Linked DNA regions of Lytechinus pictus. The protein of the gene in region 1 interacts with the protein of each later gene in a pairwise test. Links are inferred from orthologs where the notes say so. Each region holds a gene or a part of one and is shown on either strand. Other genes may lie near its edges.

What was found.
Region 2: the proteins of intraflagellar transport protein 140 homolog (region 1) and intraflagellar transport protein 20 homolog interact in a protein complementation assay, tested with the Caenorhabditis elegans proteins (2 studies listed by BioGRID). The link is inferred for Lytechinus pictus from reciprocal best matches to the Caenorhabditis elegans genes che-11 and ift-20.

What each region holds. Positions count from the first base shown.
Region 1 is NC_087254.1:17,771,528-17,781,269, forward strand, and holds the start of intraflagellar transport protein 140 homolog, read left to right. Parts: upstream 1-5,184; 5' UTR 5,185-5,278; coding exon 5,279-5,419; intron 5,420-5,832; coding exon 5,833-6,054; intron 6,055-6,813; coding exon 6,814-6,941; intron 6,942-9,045; coding exon 9,046-9,137; intron 9,138-9,742.
Region 2 is NC_087246.1:4,616,567-4,626,779, reverse strand, and holds the start of intraflagellar transport protein 20 homolog, read left to right. Parts: upstream 1-6,086; 5' UTR 6,087-6,542; coding exon 6,543-6,669; intron 6,670-9,180; coding exon 9,181-9,266; intron 9,267-10,213. UniProt on the Caenorhabditis elegans protein: Component of the intraflagellar transport (IFT) complex B required for transport of proteins in the motile cilium. Required for ciliary entrance and transport of specific ciliary cargo proteins such as che-3 which are related to motility.

The DNA.
Region 1 (9,742 bases):
TGAACATTCACTATCTGAGAAAATTTTGAATAAATGTAAATATTTCTTCGTGTATATTAACTCATAAAGCATTTTAAATTGAAACTCTCTAAGCCTATACTGCTTAGAGTACATTTTCTGGGTCTTGAAAATATAGCACATATATCTTTTTCGGAGAAATTATATGTCTTATATTATCAAACGCATACGATTTTTCTAATTTAATACTTAAAAGTGCCTTGTATATTTTATTAGATGTCACGTTTGGTAAACTGTTAATCTTACCATTAAATATAAATTCTAGATTTAGACCAGTGTCTTCACAATTGTCTTTTTTCTTCAATAGGTGTTTCCATGTTGCTGGAATATTTTCAAAAACTTTATAAACTTTATCTATTTCATTTCCATCTAAACCCATTTTCAGAAAGTCTCTTTGCTTCCACCATATAAATAATTTTTTTTATTTTACTTAGAATCTATTTGTAATTAACATTTTCCTGAATTTCTACATCTAATGATAAAGTTATTCCTAATATTTTGATAGTTTCAACTAATTTACCAAATGGAACTTTAATATCTTTTGTAGAAAGAGGACCCAACGCTAATATAAATGTGTTTTCTTTATTCATTTTTAAGCCTGAAATCTTAGCAAAATCTCCAAATATTTTTCCGATTCTATCAATAGATTGGGAGTCCCTCACAAAAAGTGTCATATCATCCGCATAGAGCGCTTGTTTGACTTCTACATTACCAAAGCTGATTCCGTGGATGGATTTATCTTTACGAATGGTATTAGAAAGGACCTCGATACAAAGTATAAACAAATAAGGAGAGAGGGGATCCCCATGTCTCACACCTCTTTCAACACTAAAGTATCCTGTCGATATACCCCCATTAAATACGCAACTCAGGGCATTTTTGTATAATGTTTTGATCCAGCTGCAAAATGAGGACCCGAAGCCAAAAGAACGTAAAACGTTTTGCAAAAAGATGTGCGAGACCGAATCAAACGCTTTTTCAAAATCTATTGCCATTAAGAAACCAGGTGCATTATTTTGTTGTGTGTAGTAAATCATATCGTCAATCAATCTTTTTTTTTTTTTTTTTTTTTTTTTTTTTTTTTTTTTTAAACAAGTGCACACCTAGTTACCAATAATGCATATAGCATTTACATTTATTTGAAAGCAGGATAAAAGAGCATTGAAGATTAAATGCTTTGCTGACGGGCATAGGTGCCGCGGCCGGGGATCGTACCCCGGACTTTTTCATGTATAGCCAGGCGCCTTAGACCACTCGGCCACGGCACCTCCTAAATCTAATTGATCTAATACGATACGATACACTACACGAAGATAAACGATACTAGTTATAATCGCGATAAATCGAGACATGAAAAAGTTAATAACGATAATGACGTCATTCAAGATGGCAACTTGCAAGAAAAACCGTCAGGTCAGGTGAAAATGTCTTAGATGACAGATTTCTCAATCATCCAGAGGATTTTTTTCAATAACTCCGGCCCAAGGTATGCAATTACTTAAGTTATTTATATTACCCTGATAATGGAAACCATGAAAATGTCAATTTTGCCTAAAAAACAGTTTTAAATCGCGATCTATAAAACGCTAGTTCACTATACGTTGGCTGTAGGTAGGGGCCCCCCTCCTCTTCAGTCTATGTATGGTGAGTGGAGCCAACGCAGTTCAGCGGAACAACCAAAATACAGAGACTGAAGCTTTTGGTCTAGGTCATGGGCCAAAACCACTCACTCACACGTATTGCGAGGTTAGTATGCTATACTATACAAACCTCGCACCACGTATGGTTGGAACTACCCCTTATCAACCACCTAATTTTCTAAGCATCATATCTGCGAAAATATTTATCACTCATCAGTTTTACCTAGTTTTCGTCTCATTTGTGCAGAAAATTGAGCAGATCAGATTCCCATGTTTCGATCGGCAACTCCGATTCAATTCGCGTATATATCGGCGAACAACGAATACGACGGTTTTACATTTGCTCATTTGCACCCTTCTTTTGAAACCGACCACCTGCAATACACTAAGTTTACGGCCGATTCTTGTCGCGGTGGTGAAATATTTTTACTCTTTCAAATCAGTTCTATGATGTCAACATGCTAAATCATTGTCTCACTACTTCCATCCACTGCGAGCTCTGGCACATGATTCGACGATTGATGACGGATATTTGTTCTAAAGCCGTTTCCTATCGGAAACGGGGCGGGTTCGGGTCTAGTCATACAATTTTGATAAATTCTACTAAATTTTTACCCTTTTACCCTTTTCCCCTTCTTTTTCTCTTGTAAAAATCAATTCTTACCGTTCCTATGGACACTGCGCCTACTCTCCTGCGCGTATCGTTTGTAATGAGCAATAATTTTGATGCGCGCAAGGTGGTCGGTTTCAAAAGAGGTGGTCGATATGTAGTGGTCTCACCATACGTGTTTACAGTATGGACTTTAGAGTTGTCGGTTACCATCGCTTTATAACGCGAATAATGTTAGTCGAAACTCATTCCGCTACTCACCAGGACTTTTTCTGGTGAAAAGCGTTCCATTTTCAATTTTACAAATTTTATTAATGTAAAAATCATGTAAAAAAGAGCAAAATCGCTTACCTCGGCCTGGAAAGTTGCTCCGCATGTCTCTTCGACGGAAATAAAAGGAAGGTTGTTGGTGGCGCTAATAGTGGGCTCCACACTAACTCTTTTTTTCTACTGGTCCAACCTATTCATGTCGGACCAGTAGATACCCAGTTTTTCCATTTTTTACTGGTCCGAACCTAAAATCTACTGGTCCCAAAAAATAAAGAAAACATTAAAAAAAAGGCGTTGGTTTATTTTGCTTTCCTTTTTTGTTACCCCCCCCCCCAAAAAAAAAAAAATGAAGGACTGAAAGACAAAAAGAAAGCAAGACAAAAAGAAAGAAACAAAGGAAGAAAGAATAAAAGAAAGGAAGGAAGAAAAAAAGAAAAGGTAAAGAAAGGATAGATGTGAAGGAAGGAAAAAAAGAAAGAACTAATGAAAGAAAGAAGGAAAGGAAGGAAGGAAGGAAAGAAAGAACAAAAAATAGAAAGAAAAAAACAAAAGAAAAAAAAGGAAGGAAAGAAAGAAAGAAAGAAAGAAAGAAAGAAGGAAAGAAAGAAAAAAAGAAGGAAAGAAATGAAGTAAGCAAGAAAGAAAGAAAAACAAAAGACAGAAATTAATGAAAAAAGGAAAGAAGGAAGCAATAAAAAAGAAAGAGAGAGAGTAAAAGGAGAGATGGAAAGAAGGAATAAAGAAAGAAAGAATGAATAAAAGGAAGGAAGGAAGAAAAAGGTAAAGAAAGGATAGATGTGAAGGAAGGAAAAAAGGAAAGAACTAAAGAAGGAAAGGAAGGAAGGAAAGAAAGAACCAAAATAAGAAAGAAAGAACAAAAGAAAATAAATGAATAAAGAAATGAAGGAAAGAAAGAAAGAAGGAAAGAAATGAAGCAAGCAATATAGAAAAAGAACAAAAGACAGAAAGTAATGAAGGAAAGAAAGAAGGAAAGAAGCAATAAAAAAGAAAGGCTAAAAGGAGAGATGGAAAGAAGGAAGAAAGAAAGAAGAAAGGAAGAAAAAAAAAAAGGTAAAATGATAGATAGAAGGAAAAAAGAATGAAGGAAAGAAATAAAGAAGGAAGGAAGCAGTCAAGCAATATATAAAAGAAAGAAAATATAAAAGAATAGATGAAAGGAAGAAAAAAAGAGGCCAAGACAAAGAAAGGAAGGAATGAAGGAAAGAACGAAAGAAGAATGGAAAGGAAGCAAGCAGTAAAAAAAAAAAAAAAAAAAAAAGGTAAAAGGATAGTTGGAACGAAGGGGAAAAAAGAACAAAAAACAGTATAAAGAAAGGAAGGAATGAATGAAAGAAAGGGCTGAAAGAAGGAAGAAATAAAAAAGGGTAAAGAAAGGATGGATGGAGTGAAGAAAGAAACAAAGAAAGAAAGTGACAAAGAATGAAGGAAAGAAAGGGTAAAAAGAAGGAAGGAAAGGAAGAAAGAAAGAGATAAATATAGGATGGATGAACTCAAGAATTAAAGAAAGAAAGAAATAAAAAATGAAAGAAGAGAGGGAAGAAACAAAGAAAGATTGAAAAGAAAGAAGGAAAGAAAGATAGAAAGAAAACAGAGGAAGAAAGCTAAAACTATCATTATAAATAAATTATCAGTTTCTTTTTGGCTCAATTAAGATGTATAGCTACGAAAGAACCCAAGTGTATCAACACACACACAAAAGCATTTGTGGGGCTATCATGTATTCAGATGATATCACTCGAAACCCGATCTCTTTGAACTAAAACAGAAGTGAAAATTTCTCCTTTTACTGCTTACAAATGACAGAGTTACCCCAATTTTTAGGAAATATGGACATTACAAGAGCTTTTCAGTAGTCATGTTAGTGTGAAATGTGAATTTTGACAGTTCTGTGAGAGATTTTTGCCAGAGGTTAGCCAAGCTTCGTTCGTGCAGCCAGTATAGTAGAAAATTTACCATGTGGCTGTGTGGCTGGCTAGCCATATGTACACTGTATGTTACCCTAGTAAAAATTGCATACAATTCATTCTGTGTGTATTCTGTGTGTGAATGACAGAAATTAACTGGAGGAAGATGATTTGCAATTTGAGTCATGGAATATTTTTAATGTTTATGTTGGACTAGTGAATTTGACCATTTCTGGAAAAGTTACTGGCCCATCAATGGTTTTTGTTACTGTTTATGTCGGACCCATAAATCTTGCTATTTTAGGAATAATTACTGGCCCGACAATGATATTTTTTTACTGGTCATGTCGGACCAGTAAATCTTGCTATTTCTGAAAATCTACTGGCCCGACAGTGATTTTTACCGGTCTGGGACCGTCGGACCGGGGCTATTCTCCACCTAATGAATATTTATGATGACCTGCATGTTACTGTTTTCACATAATATTGCTGAACATTATTTGTTGTCTTAATTCTGAAAACTATAATAAAGGGAGAAGATAGTTTCTTCAAATGGAGGTTCAACAATTTCAAAGCAAAATACAGATACCTCTAGTAACTTCACTTACTCTAATTCAATTGACTGTCCTAAGATTAGAAAATTAAAGAATGAACAATATAGCCTTTTTCACTTTGCAAAAATGAAGAAAGATTATCCTTTCCCATTTTTTTTTCTACAGAATCATATTGCTCATTTACCTCTTAGGTCCGAGGACGGACCTATAATTTGTATGGAAACCACATCATTTTGAAAGAACAAGCTTGTTGTATCCAAGATGGCTATTTTCTTTGATCATCGAGTTCAGTCAGGCTCAACTAGCCATGTAGATATATCATGGCATAATGAACAACCTTTACTTGCTATTGCAATGAGAGGCCAGCAAGGCGGAGGTGTCATCAACATTTTCAATGAAGAGGTAAGGAAAAGGTTTTTTTTCTCTCGAGAAAGATTTACATTTTTCATGACCCATCTTCATGTTATTTATTTTCTATCTACGTAAAGTGATTGCTATTCATCTTAAAGGAACAATATTTTTAATGAAAGAAAATACTGTGAATTCAAGTTCTGTGTTGATATTTTTGGTGTGGTTTAATCTTTATAGTGGATGATGTAAATGAAAACATTTCAATTTCTTTCCCTTGTCGATATCAAAATAAAATAATCGCTTATGAAACGGAATATATCCGTGTGTGCGACAAATGAGTTCATAAACCTTCAAAAATCACTCATGAATAATAATTCTATGAATTATCTTTATCACTGCCTGTCATTGTTTATTTGCCCTTCCTCTGAATAAAGGAAGATTGATTTATGTGTATTGTTAATTAGGGTCAAGCCCTTCCAGCAGCTAATCTTCAACGTTCTTGCTACTCCACCTCATTGGCCTGGCATCCTACCCATCCTTCAGTGGCTGTAGGATGGGAGAGTGGAGAGATTCTAATCTGGAATGAGCAAGATCAGCAGCTTCAGGAAGCCACCAAACTTCACAAGGCTCAGGTCTGCTTGCTTCAATGGAGTGTCAAGGGTCAACGTTTATTATCAGGAGATAAGGTCAGACTTGGCAAGTGTTTTATGAAGAGTTTTGTTTCTTCATTCACTGACATGATATAAGCTACAGAAATAATTGCATCTGATTGGTTGAGAACAAATTAGTCAGTAAAAAATAATTTGCAAAGCTCTTCATGAACCCCCCTCCTGGATTCTTATGGATCTATCAGTTTCTTGTTAAAATAAACCCTGTATTAATCTGAGCTTTTATATCTCTCTGATATGATATCAAATGCACATGCATGAGTTTGGAGTTCTATGCATAAAGCTGCAACTTGATGCATGACATGTATGTGCACAAGGGATGTATCTTTATAGGTATGTAGTGATTCATCACTTTATTTAACATTCAAATTGTTCAAAACAAAGGAATGAGTACAAACGTGGGAGGAATTACGACCAGGACATATCTGGGTACATAGAATAGCCTAAACAGGACATACATAAATACTAATAACAAAATGGCATAACAATACAAATTGTCTTTTAACTTCTATGGAACTACGACAAATTTTCTTGGTCAACAAAACTTATTCCTTGCTTGACTCCACAAGAAGATTTAACATTCTGTTATAAGCTACTGAATGTATCTAATTTGACAAAAAAAATCTATATCATAGCATTCTTGCCCTTGTTATTGATAACCGGGTCTTTTACACTTTGCTTATATATCATATCACTTAATGTAGGTCTGTTATGCAATAATCAGGAATATCGAAGGAGATTACTAATTCTCGCTTTCTTGATTAACATTGATTATAGGAAGGAACATTGATCATGTGGAAGAGTGACGGAAAAGGTCATCTGACTAGTAATCCCATCAGTCAATTACCATCTCAACAGACGCCAACTCAATGTTTATTTCCCTATGGTGGACCAAAACAGGATGAGTAAGAGCAACTATCCTTTTTACCTTCGCCAAATGAAGTTTGAAAGGGGTGCAATCACCCCAGATCCTGGTTTCTGTCATTCAAGTGTTATTCCTGACTAGAAATGTTCAGTATACAGTGCGTCCCACAAAAAACGAAACCGAGGTTTACGAATGATTTATCATAACTTAATCACAAATACAGTAGACAAATGACCTATCATTGTAAAGCTTAGAATCTCTTCTCTCAGCTGGTATAACATACAAGATTTCTCATCCTCGCATGAGTGAATAAAAACAATTTGAAGAAAGGATAGCAAAAAGTCATTTGGCGGGAGATATCAAAATTTCAAAAAGAAAATCACATGCCTAAGAAGTTCAATATTTGCTCTTTAATTTGATAGCTAAATCGCAGAAAATGGTCAAGAAATAACAAAGCTATGCTTCTTCAAAACAATGCTTGTATTTCCATAATTTCATGAAACATACATGTTTTCACCGGTTTCTCACCTAAGCTATCGCACGGTTAACAAAAGACTTTATGCATGGCTGATCGTCAACAAAACGGAGTGTCGAGTAAGTCTGAAAGCTATCCAGTAAAACCTCTTCATTTTTTGAAATTATTGGAATTCAAGCCTTATTTCAAATAAACAGAACTTTGTTATTTCTTGACCGTTTTCTGTAACTGAGGTATCAAATTTAAGAGCAGATATTGAAATTTTTAAAAATGTGAGTTTCTTTTTGAAACTCAGATACAGCCCGCCAAGTGACTTTTTGGTTTCCTTTCTTCAAATTGATTTTGCTCACTCATGCATGAATGATAAATAATCTAAGTTATTTCAAATGAAAGAGGAGACACTCAGCTTTACATTTGTCTATTGTATTTGTGATTAAGTTATGGAAAATCATTGATAAATCTTGGTTTCGTTTTTTCTGGGATGTACTCTATATTTAATGAGCTGTGTGCAGATTAAATTAAGGCATTGTTGCCCTTACTATTCATCAGGTTATTGGCAGGTTTGTCCATTGCAAATGTTGTGGATCAACTTACTTTCTCACTTTTTAACATATTTCTAATACAAAATTTTGCATAAACATTGGTCTTAAGGCACATTTTTGCATGTGTTGATGATTTTTATATTTAGGGCAAAAATTTGTTAAAAATTTTGAGGTCATGGCCCTGGAAAGCGGGGATGCTGGGGGTGCTATAGCACGCCCAAGATTTTTCATGGGGTGCTGCATATGTAATAACCATAGGCAGCACCCCCCTAGGAATCAGGTTGACAAGCCAACAACAAAAAAAAAACCTCTCAAAATGACATGTTTGGGAGCAATTACCTTTATTTAATTTTTTTTTTCTTGTCATTTTTTTCCAGATGACAATCCCCTTCATAATACCCCCAGCATCTCTTATTTAAAACTCATTCCAGGGCCCTGCTTGTTTTTCCAAGTTTCATACTACTTCCTCACTTTTTTACCAGTGCTCATGAAATTTGGCACACTTGTCTTGAAGTAAAGAGGGGCAACACATTTTTTCTCTATTTATTGGAAACTGTTTTGCCATGGTAACGGCATTGGATGGGGGGGGGGGTAAGGGGTGGTAATTACTGTCAGTGATATTTCTTGTCTTTAATTGTTTGTATTGTTTTGGTATCCATTAGCATGCAAATGTTGCTATTTATGCATTCATTCAATTATTGATTTAACAATCATACACTAATTAGTGTTTACTGTCACATTTGGCTTTAATACATCTATAGAATAAATCAGTAGTACAATATTGAAAGAAGATATGAAAAGAACAATCATTGCTATCCTCTCAGAATTTAACTGGGAGTTGAGGATAGGTGATGCAGTCATATCTACATGGCTTTTATAATGTGTATGGATTCAGGTCAAAACATAAAGGATTGCTTCCAGAAAATTTACAAATTAAACAATTGACAAACAATTCTATATTCTTAGAAATAAGATATTTTTATGTCACTTTATTCGGGTGTCTCTTTCAATAATCTCTCGAAAAAAACTCTTCCAATTCACTATCACTCTCATCTTTGCTGTCTTACTTTGTCAATGTAGATTTCCACTCAATTTCTTTCCTTTTTTTGTCAATTTATGGTGTAAAGTGATCGGAGTGCCCCATGGAGCTCAAATTTGTACAAAGGTTCTTCCAGTCTGTTAGCGGATGGCAATGCTTGCTTTGTAGGAGGAGAGGAAGGTAAGTTGCATTTCTTCCCCAATAGTACCTGTGGGTGCTTCGTGGTCTAGTGGTTCTGACTCTTGCCTTTGAACAGAGGGTCGTGGGTTCAAATCGTAGCCATGGCGTGTTTTCCTTTAGCAAGAAATTTATCCACACTGTGCTGCCATCGACCCAGGTGAGGTGAATGGGTACCTGGCAGGAGTAATTCCTTGCATGCACTGAGCGGCGGTGATGGTAGCTTGAGCTAGAGCCAGGGTAATGATAGCAGCGCTTTGTATCCTCTGGCAAAAAGGGCTTTATAAATCCAGCTATTATTATTACCTGCATGTACTAGAAATGAATTTGGTCAACATTATATCCAAGAGATGTTTGACAAACAATTTTTGGATTAATCCCATATAATATGTTCATCAGTTTGCATTGCATACATGTTAATTATTCTGAAGTATTGAGTCAGTTTGTTCTCTTTTGGCAATTCCAGTTTAGAAATGCATTACAAACAACATTTCACAATCACTTTGGGACAGTTTCTTTCATATTCAAATTCACAACCAAAATTAAATGTTTTAATGTTATACTTGTATGATATAACATCTCTGTGTATATCCAGAGTACTATGAATA
Region 2 (10,213 bases), on another chromosome or scaffold:
AGCATGGATCCCAGGAAGCTTATTGATTTTAAGGTCAAAGGTCAAGGTCACAATGACATGTTTTCATCTTACCCTTCTGCAGTCTTTGTAAACGGAATAACTTCAGTTTAACTTTACCTAGGCTCATATATTTGGTGTGTATGATACTAGCATGGAGAAAGCATAACGATTTTAAGGTAAAAAGGTCAAGGTTACAATGACATGTTTTCATCCTACCCTTCTCAAGTCCTTGTTTAGGAAATAACTTCAGTTTAGCTTAACCTAGCTAGGCTCATATAATTTTACGTATATTATGCTACCATAGATCCCAGGAAATCTATTGATTTTGAGGTCAGAAGGTAAAAGGTGAAGTCACCACCTTTCTCATTTCTTGCTGGACCAATTACTCTATTTTCCGTGTTACAGGTGGGGCGTATTATGAGCGTGCCTTAGCGACACAATTGTTTTTAAATAAAGTGATTTTAATTTTTCAACCAGTATCTCAAATTTCTGCCATCTTATCTAAAAATGTATTCATTTCGTGAGAAAAATTAATAGATATTAGACCATAAGGGGGCACTCAATATCATGAGGATACATTTTGGGGGAAATTCAATATCTTGATATCTTTAACAGTTTAATGTATTGATACATTATATTTCAACATAGGATGGACCATTTGCTAAGTTTTCATTAATAAATGCTCTCCTTGCCATTGTCAAATGGCCATGACCAAAGGATTTTAGCAACATTTCAGCATGCTATACATATGCATGCAAGACCAAAAATTGCTCAAAAGCATGACTTCATGTACAGACACAATACAGATTCTGTTACTTGCCAAAAATTAATGTATCATTATTTATACTCGTACTAATTTTAAAAAAAAATCATATCATGTTTATAAAGAAGGTTCCAGCACCCCCTCCTCCCCCCCAAAAAAAAATAAACACTCAGTAAACAGAAGATAATTAGACAAATATATAGAAATTTATTGAACAGTAAATGAATATAAAAATCATTTTCAATTTTTTTTCTCTCTCTTTCATAGTAAGTTTTCTATGAATGGCCAAAAAAACCCAGTAAACAGAAGATAATTATCGAGAGAAATATATAAGAAATTTATGGAACAGTAAATAAACATAGAAAATGGTTTTCAATATTTTTTTTACATTATGAGTTTTCTATGAATCGCAAAAAATAATAAACAGAAGATAATTAATTAGAGAAATATATAAGAAATTTATTGACCAGTTAAGAAACAGATAATCGTTTCAAATATTGTATTTTCTTTGCAGTAAGAATATGAATGGCAACAAAAAGCAATAAACATAAGATAATTAATTCTAGAAATATATAATAAATTTATTGAAAAGTAAAATAAACATCGAAAATTGTTTTTATCTTGTAATTTGTCTTCCTAGCAGTACAACTTTTGCTTCCATGATCAGAGCAGATCTAACATAGACTTTAGACAAAGCTCCATGTCTGATATAACATGTATTTCATTGCCTGATGTCTCATGACATCGGGCATCAAAAGTGTGAATCGGCGCATCGGCATGCTCATGGATAATTCATAGTGCTTGCAGTAAAAGCAAAAATTTATAAGGCTTCGCAACTGAAGTTGCTTGATCTCGCATGTGTCCGCAGGTTTTGCCATTTCTCTTCTTCGTCAAACTAACCTTATTTTAGCCACTACTTGAAGAAGTCATGCTGCCTTGTCAAAAGGCTAGATCTAATAAATAAAGCATTATCTCCTTTGATGATGCGTCACCATTCACATTATGCAAATCCAGGTGAAGATCAATGCTGTGCTGTTTCTCTTTCATATTATAAACAATTTATTTTTTATGTGATAGCAAGATTGGTATTTTTACAAGCATTCTTTATTTTCTTCTTATGAAATTAATTTATACCCTGGGACACTGTTTGTGACTTTTTCTAGTAAATATTCAATGACTATGCAATTTGTGTAAAACAGGTATTTCTTTAAGGCAGTTGGCAGCTTAAAGGTCAAGTCCACCCCAGGAAAATGCTGACTTGAATAAATAGAGAAAATTCAAACTTGCATAATGCTGAAAATTTCATCAAAATCAAACGTAGAATAAGAAAGTTTTGACATTTGAAAGTTTCGCTTATTTTTGACAAAACAGTGATATACACAACAAGGTGAGTCAGTCGATGATGTCAATCACTCACTATTTCGTTTGTTTTTTACTGTTTGAATTATACAATATTTCATTTTCTATACATTTGACAATAAGGACCAACTTGACTGAACCATATAGTATTAAACAAAGCTAATTCCACATGTTCAGGGAGGAATTAATCGTTGTATCACTTGACATTGAGGAGAAAATTAGAATATTTCATATTTCCTATAATAAAATACAAAAGAAATAGTGAGAGGATGACGTCATCAGTCTCCTCAGGTGCATACAGACCAGGATGTGCATATAACTGTTTTTTTTAATTAAGCAAAACTTAAAAATGTCATAACTTTCTTATTTTACATCCGATTTTGATGAAATTTTCAGTGTTATGCTTGTTGATTTTTTCTCTTTTTATTCAAATCAACTTTTTGTTGGGGTGGACTTGTCCTTTAATGTAATTGTTGTAAAACAGTACTAAATTACTCCATAACAGTATCTCTTGTGAAAAAAATATTTGATTTGTATTAGGTCTACTCTGTGATTGTGTAGTTATACCTTGTTTCAATAAGTTCATTACAAGTTGAACATTTAACTACATCACACCAATGACAAAAGGGGTAGAAGCATAGTTTTGCAACCTTTACTTAAAAGTTCAGCTCTTTCAAGAAAAAGCTAATCTTCACCATACAAAATGTGAATATGGATTGTTTAACAACTATATACAAGATTATGTTCTGCCTTCTTGAAATGGTTGCAGGAGGCTTATTCCAGCTTGTGTGGCTAATTTTATCTCCCGACAGTTTATTCTTTTTTTAAAACCTCCATTGAAACTTGCCTCACCTCCTTTTAAATTGGCTTCACCATAATTTGTAGTACAGTTTATTATTTTTTAAAAACCTCCATTGAAACTTGCCTCGCCTCCTTTTAAATTTGTAGTACAGTTTATTCTTTTTAAAAACCTCCATTGAAACTTGCCTCACCTCCTTTCAAATTTGTAGTACAGTTTATTCTTTTAAAAAACCTCAATTGAAACTTGCCTCACCTCCTTTTAAATTGGCTTCACCATAATACAGTTTATTTTTTAAAACCTCCATTGAAACTTGCCTCACCTCCTTTTAAATTGGCTTCACCGTAATACAGTTTATTCTTTTTAAAAACCTCCATTGAGGCTTGCCTCACCTCCTTTTAAATTGGCTTCACCATAATTTGTAGTACAGTTAATTCTTTTTTTAAAACCTCCATTGAAACTTGCCTCACCTCCTTTTAAATTGGCTTCACCATAATACAGTTTATTTTTTAAAACCTCCATTGAAACTTGCCTCACCTCCTTTTAAATTGGCTTCACCATAATACAGTTTATTCTTTTTAAAAACCTCCATTGAGGCTTGCCTCACCTCCTTTTAAATTGGCTTCACCATAATTTGTAGTACAGTTAATTCTTTTTTTTAAACCTCCATTGAGGCTTGCCTCACCTCCTTTTAAATTGGCTTCACCATAATTTGTAGTACAGTTTATTCTTTTTAAAAACCTCCATTGAAACTTGCCTCACCTCCTTTCAAATTTGTAGTACAGTTTATTCTTTTTAAAAACCTCAATTGAAACTTGCCTCACCTCCTTTCAAATTTAGTACAGTTTATTCTTTTAAAAAATCTCCATTAAAACTTGCCTCACCTCCTTTTAAATTGGCTTCACCATAATTTGTAGTAGTTTATTCTTTTTAAAAACGGACTTGCCTCGCCTCCTTTTAAATTGCCTTCACCATAACTTGTAATACAGTTTATTCTTTTTAAAAACCTCCATTGAAACTTGCCTCACCTCCTTTTAAATCGGCTTCACCATAATTTGTAGTACAGTTTATTCTTTTTTTAAACCCTCCATTGAAACTTGCCTCACCTCCTTTTGAATTGGCTTCACCATAATTTATAGTACAGTTTATTCTTTTTTATAAACCTCCATTGAAACTTGCCTCACCTCCTTTTAAATTTGTAGTACAGTTTATTTTTTTTAAAACCTCCATTGAAACTTGCCTCACCTCCTTTTAAATTGGCTTCACCATAATACAGTTTATTCTTTTCAAAAACCTCCATTGAGGCTTGCCTCGATCACCTCCTTTTAAATTGGCTTCACCATAACTTGTAATACATGTATTCTTTTTAAAAACCTCCATTGAAACTTGCCTCACCTCCTTTCAAATTTGTAGTACAGTTTATTCTTTAAAAAAACCTCAATTGAAACTTGCCTCACCTTCTTTTAAATTGGCTTCACCATAATACAGTTTATTTTTTTAAACCTCCATTGAAACTAGCCTCACCTCCTTTTGAATTGGCTTCACCATAATTTGTAGTACAGTTTATTCTTTTTTAAAAACCTCCATTGAAACTTGCCTCACCTCCTTTTAAATTGGCTTCACCATAATTTGTAGTACAGTTTATTCTTTTTGTAAAACCTCCATTGAAACTTGCCTCACCTCCTTTTGAATTGGCTTCACCATAATTTGTAGTACAGTTTATTCTTTTTTAAAAACCTCAATTGAAACTTGCCTCGCCAGCTCCTTTTAAATTTGTAGTACAGTTTATTCTTTTTTAAAAACTTCCATTGAAACTTGCCTCACCTCCTTTTAAACTGGCTTCACCATAATACAGTTTATTCTTTTTAAAAACCTCCATTGAAACTTGCCTCACCTCCTTTTAAATTGGCTTCACCATATATACAGTTTATTCGTTTTAAAAACCTCCATTGAAACTTGCCTCACCTCCTTTTAAATTGGCTTCACCATAATACAGTTTATTCTTTTTAAAAACCTCCATTGAAACTTGCCTCACCTCCTTTTAAATTGGCTTCACCATAATACAGTTTATTCGTTTTAAAAACCTCCATTGAAACTTGCCTCACCTCCTTTTAAATTGGCTTCACCATATACAGTTTATTCTTTTTAAAAACCTCCATTGAAACTTGCCTCACATCCTTTTAAATTGGCTTCACCATAATACTGTTTATTCTTTTTAAAAACCTCCATTAAAACTTGCCTCACCTCCTTTTAAATTGGCTTCACCATAATTTGTAGTACAGTTTATTCTTTTTAAAAACCTCCATTAAAACTTGCCTCACCTCCTTTTAAATTGGCTTCACCATAATACAGTTTATTCTTTTTTAAAACCTCCATTGAAACTTGTCTCACCTCCTTTTAAATTGGCTTCACCATAATATTCAGGTAAGGTATATTCATTCTTTTTTTTAAAAACATCATTGTTCACTTAAGCTTCCCTCACCTAGATCAATTTGCTATATATAATACCTTTTATTCTACACTATTCTTCCCTTTAAAAAAACCTGATTGTACTCCTGCCTCCCCTGATCTGACATTTGCCTCTCAACGTACTGGAAATAGATACCCTTTGTTCAATATTTTTGTGTTTTTGACACCCTTATCACGTTACGTACGTAACGTGCCCTCTCTTGAAAAAGACATCCTTTTTACGTGTTTTTTTGGTCGTGCATGGTATCCACTCGTCAATATAAGTGGCCCCCCGGGCCTACTGTACAGTGTTATTTTATTATCTCTTTATATCGGAAACTTCGTTTTACCGAATTGCCATGCACTCTCTCCGACGCGTTTGAAGTCTTATACCCTTTTTACACACGCTAAAATTTCCTTAACCCCGTACTATAGGTGGGGCTAAATTGCCATTTAGCCCCACCTATAGTACGGGGTTAAGCTTAGCCCACTTTCTTTTTACACAGCATTTTTGCAAAGTGGGCTAACCCCACCTTTAGTACGGGACTATTTGGCCCTGCAAAAAAGCAGGGTTATCCCAGCAATTGCGGTGCTAAGAGCGATAGTACGGGGTTAAGATCGCTAGTGTAAAACGAAAGTGGGCTAAGCTTAACCCCGTACTATAGGTGGGGCTAAATGGCAATTTGGCCCCACCTATAGTACGGGGTTAAGGAAATTGTAGCGTGTGTAAAAAGGTACGAGTGAAGTACTTGTACTACGAATGGTCGACAAAAACCACTAGTCCGGGGTTAGCGAGTTTCGTGTGTGAAAAGCAAGCATTCCTTATCCGGGGTTAGCAATAACAATTTGGCATGTGTAAAAAGGAAAAAAAATAGTACGGGGTTAAGGATAGTACGGGGTTAGCGATAGTCCGGGGCTAAGAAAATCCTGTGTAAAAAGGGTATTAGACAGCATGGCATACTACCAGCCGATGGTACACACACACGTTATTTGACAACTTGTCTCTGGAGCCAAAGTTCCTCGCATATAACTATCTGCATGCCTGCACGCAGTGTGTATTGAACACGCACGACCACGATCTAATGAATATTCATCGGCGAGACTGACGTCATTTTACGAGTCTCCTTTCAAACTTGGATCATAAGTGCCTACCATTTACTAGTCGCAGTTACCATGGCTGACGAAGCTCTTGCAAATGCTGGTTTGCACTTTGATGACTTAAACAAAATACGAGTATTGGAACCTGAAATTCAAAGCCAGACGACAGAATTGAAAGAAGAATGTAAAGATTTTGTGGACAGTGAGTAAATTTAATTTAATCAATCGAAGTATCGAATGGAACCACTCAGGCTCAGCTCGACGCCCGTGACCAGTAGAGGCGCTGGTCAGAAAATTGGGATCGTCCCCGTTTACAGGGACTGTCTCAGTTTATAAGGATTTCTCCACACAAGAAATCTAGGAAAGTTCATTCACCTGTTGAGTGCCGACACCAATCAAGAGTGCTAGTCAATGTAAACATATCGGGTTTCATAACAAGATTATTGGAAGACGGCAAGTCATAATAAATAAACGGTGAAGTGGGGGGAATTGAGGTCACTGAATCTATTTTTAGCACTCTCAATTCCCCTAATTGCTGCCTTTGTCCCGTAGGGAGAAGTGAAGAAAAAACGTCCCCATAAACAAGGACAGTCTCAATTTATCAAGACATAATTTGTCTTGGTTTATAAGGATATCCTTGTTTTCTGGGACAATCCCAATTTTTGGACCAGCGCCTCTACTGGTGACTTAGCTCTGTGGTGCCTGCCCCTGCTCCGGCGCCGCCGCGGCGCTCCGGGACCGGGCGCCTGCACCTGCTGCGTGTGTGCGCGGTATATAGCCAAACCTTTAAGTTTTAACGTTACTTATTTTACTATTTTAGTCAATTTAGAGCTCATTCATGCATGTCAGGGGTAGACAGCCGAAATCGAAGTAAGCCACTGCTTTTTTCCCCCTTGTTTAAATTAAGCTTATTTCTTTGACTAAGTTTAGACTAGGCCTAGAGGCTAAAACGGAATAGGGCCTAATTAACTTTACCGGGAAGTGGAACTAGGCTAGTTCTTTTTATGTAATTATTCAATTTAGAATAAAGTGAAAAATCAAAGAATACAAAGATCCCTGTCAGTTGGGGTTTTGCATTGCAAATTCCCTAATGGCGGGTGCACGTTCGTGAGCCATCTGTGTATGAGGAGAAATAAAAAAAATTAAAAATGTTTAAAAACTTCTTGAAGCAGACGGCTGTCGAATGTTAGTCATGCTAATTAGATTCTACCAATCAAAATTCACTGGCAGTTTATTCAAGTCAAGAGAATGTCAGATCCTGGGCGCGCATTTCACGAAACAGGCATTTTAGACGCAATGACTGACTTTTCTTGGCACATGCACAAAATAAAGAAAGAAAATAGAGAAAGAGAGTAAGTACTAACTATAGAACAAGCAAAATAAATAAAGAAAGAAAGAAAGAGAGAATAAAAAGAAAGGACGAAAAAGTAAAAAAGAAGACATAAAAGGTTCAGAAAGCAAAAATAAAATGAAAGAAGGAAAGAGCAAACAAATGAACAGAAAAAAAAGAAAGACCCCCAAAAGGAAAAAAAAAAATGGAAGAAATGAATAACAGAAAGAAAACAAAGAAAAAAATTAAAAAGATCAAGGGAAGGAAGAAAATGAAGACAGAAAAAAAGAAAGAAGAAAGGAATACCAAAAATGATGACCAAAGAATGAAAGAAAGAGAGAGAAAGAATAGAAAAAAGGAAAAAGGTAAAAAAAATGAATGAAAAAGAAAGAAGGAAAAAAAAAGAAATAAAGAAAGAAAGATAGAAAAGGGAAACCAAGAAGCAAAAATAAAAACGAAAGAAAGAACGAAAAGGGAAAATACATGTATTTCATTATTGTCATATTGTATGATAGTAATTATTTACAACTAAAATGTAACCTCAGACAGTCAACAGTGTCCCTCTTTCACTATTTTGTTTTCAATTGTTTGAATTGTACAATATTTGTATTTTTACAGATTTGACATTAATGTCCAACTTGACTGAACCATAAAGTGTTAAACCAATGGTAATTCCACATGTTCAGGGAGGAATAAAACTTTGTTTTACATGACAGTGATGAGAAAATTAGAATGTTTCATAATAGAGATTATTATCTAAATAGAGCATTTTAGCCATACATTATAAACGCTTATTTTGGTCTGCATCAATTGCCTGTGCAGTATCAGAGCGTATCTCTAACAGTGACCAAAATCCGATGAATATCCCATAGGCTCGTGTACAAAATTTGCCATTGAGTATAAGACCATCAACAGTCTAGTGCGCATGCGCGAATGCGTAAAATATACAACGCGTACAACAATGAAAGTAATGCGATGCACAGCATAGATCACAATTACGCTCAATGAGGTCATAATGAACTACATATAAGTCACATGTCAATGACCCTAAAGTGATGATGTGATAAGTGATATGACTTTTTTTTTAATGTGTTATGCTTGTTTTATTTTTCTCTTATTCAAATCAACTATATATTTTTTTTTTTTGGGGGGGGGCAGTTTAAACTCTAATGCCTCAAAGTGTTGTATATCTAAAGCATTTCATGCCAATTTTGTGTTGGCTTCAGGGTTACAATTAAGTTATTCACATATATCTCATCCTAAATTTGATTTTTTTTTTAATATATGCTCACAAAGAGCAGGTTATATGGTAAATTTATTAATAACAAAGATATTGCGTTAATCATGTGTACTTTGGGTTTTTTTTCCTTTTTAATCTTACAGAAATTGGAGACTTTCAGCATATTGTAGGAGGATTCATTGACAAAGTGGATCAACTTGCAAAAGAAGTTGAGAAAGAGAAGATGAAGGTAATTAATAGACTAACAATTTGAAAATACAAGTATGGTGACTTTAAAGTGCATCCTAAGACGTCTGACACATATTAAAAAAAGAAGTTATTCTCGTTTATAACCATGCCAACCCTATTTTTATACTAATTTAGAAACAAAATATATTGTGGAACCTTGAAGACAGGCAAATTTTTAAAGAAAAAAATATATATATACCTAAGACAAATAGAATGATGATAATGCAGTGTTGTGGTTCTGTGGATATGTCTCTGAACTTTGAACCACAAGGTCTAGGGTTCAAGTGCCACCACAATACTTGTGTCCTTCACCAAGGCATTTATTTACATTTGCCACTTTACACCCATGTGTAGCACATGGTTACGCAGTTGGAAGAAATTCCTTGAATGCTCAAGCACCTTATGGGGTATCTGGGAAAGTACAGATGGTACGACTTGCAAGATTTCTTTTATTTTTGTCTCGCCTGCATAGCAGAGCGAGACTACAAGCGCCGCTCTTCTGACTGCGGCGACATTGTCAATGTTGAAATCTTAATCAAGGTAAAGTTTTTGAAATGTCATCATAACTTAGAAAGTATATGGACCTAGTTCATAAAGCTTGGACATAAGGGCAATCAAGTATTACTGAACATCCTGCCTGAGTTTCAGGTCACATGACTAAGGTCAAAGGTCATTTAGGGTCAATGAACTTAATATCGAAATCTTAACCAAGGTCAAGTTTTTGAAAATGTCATCATAACTTAGAAAGAATATGGACCTAGTTCAGAAAACTTAAACATAAGGGTATTAGTGTATCACTGAAGATCCTGCCTGAGTTTCAGGTCACATGATTAAGGTCAAAGGTCACTTACGGTCAAAGTTTGGCCATGTTGGGGTTATTTGAGGAATCGTCATCATAACTTTAAAAGTTTATGGATCTAGTTCATGAAACTAGGACATAAGAGCAAC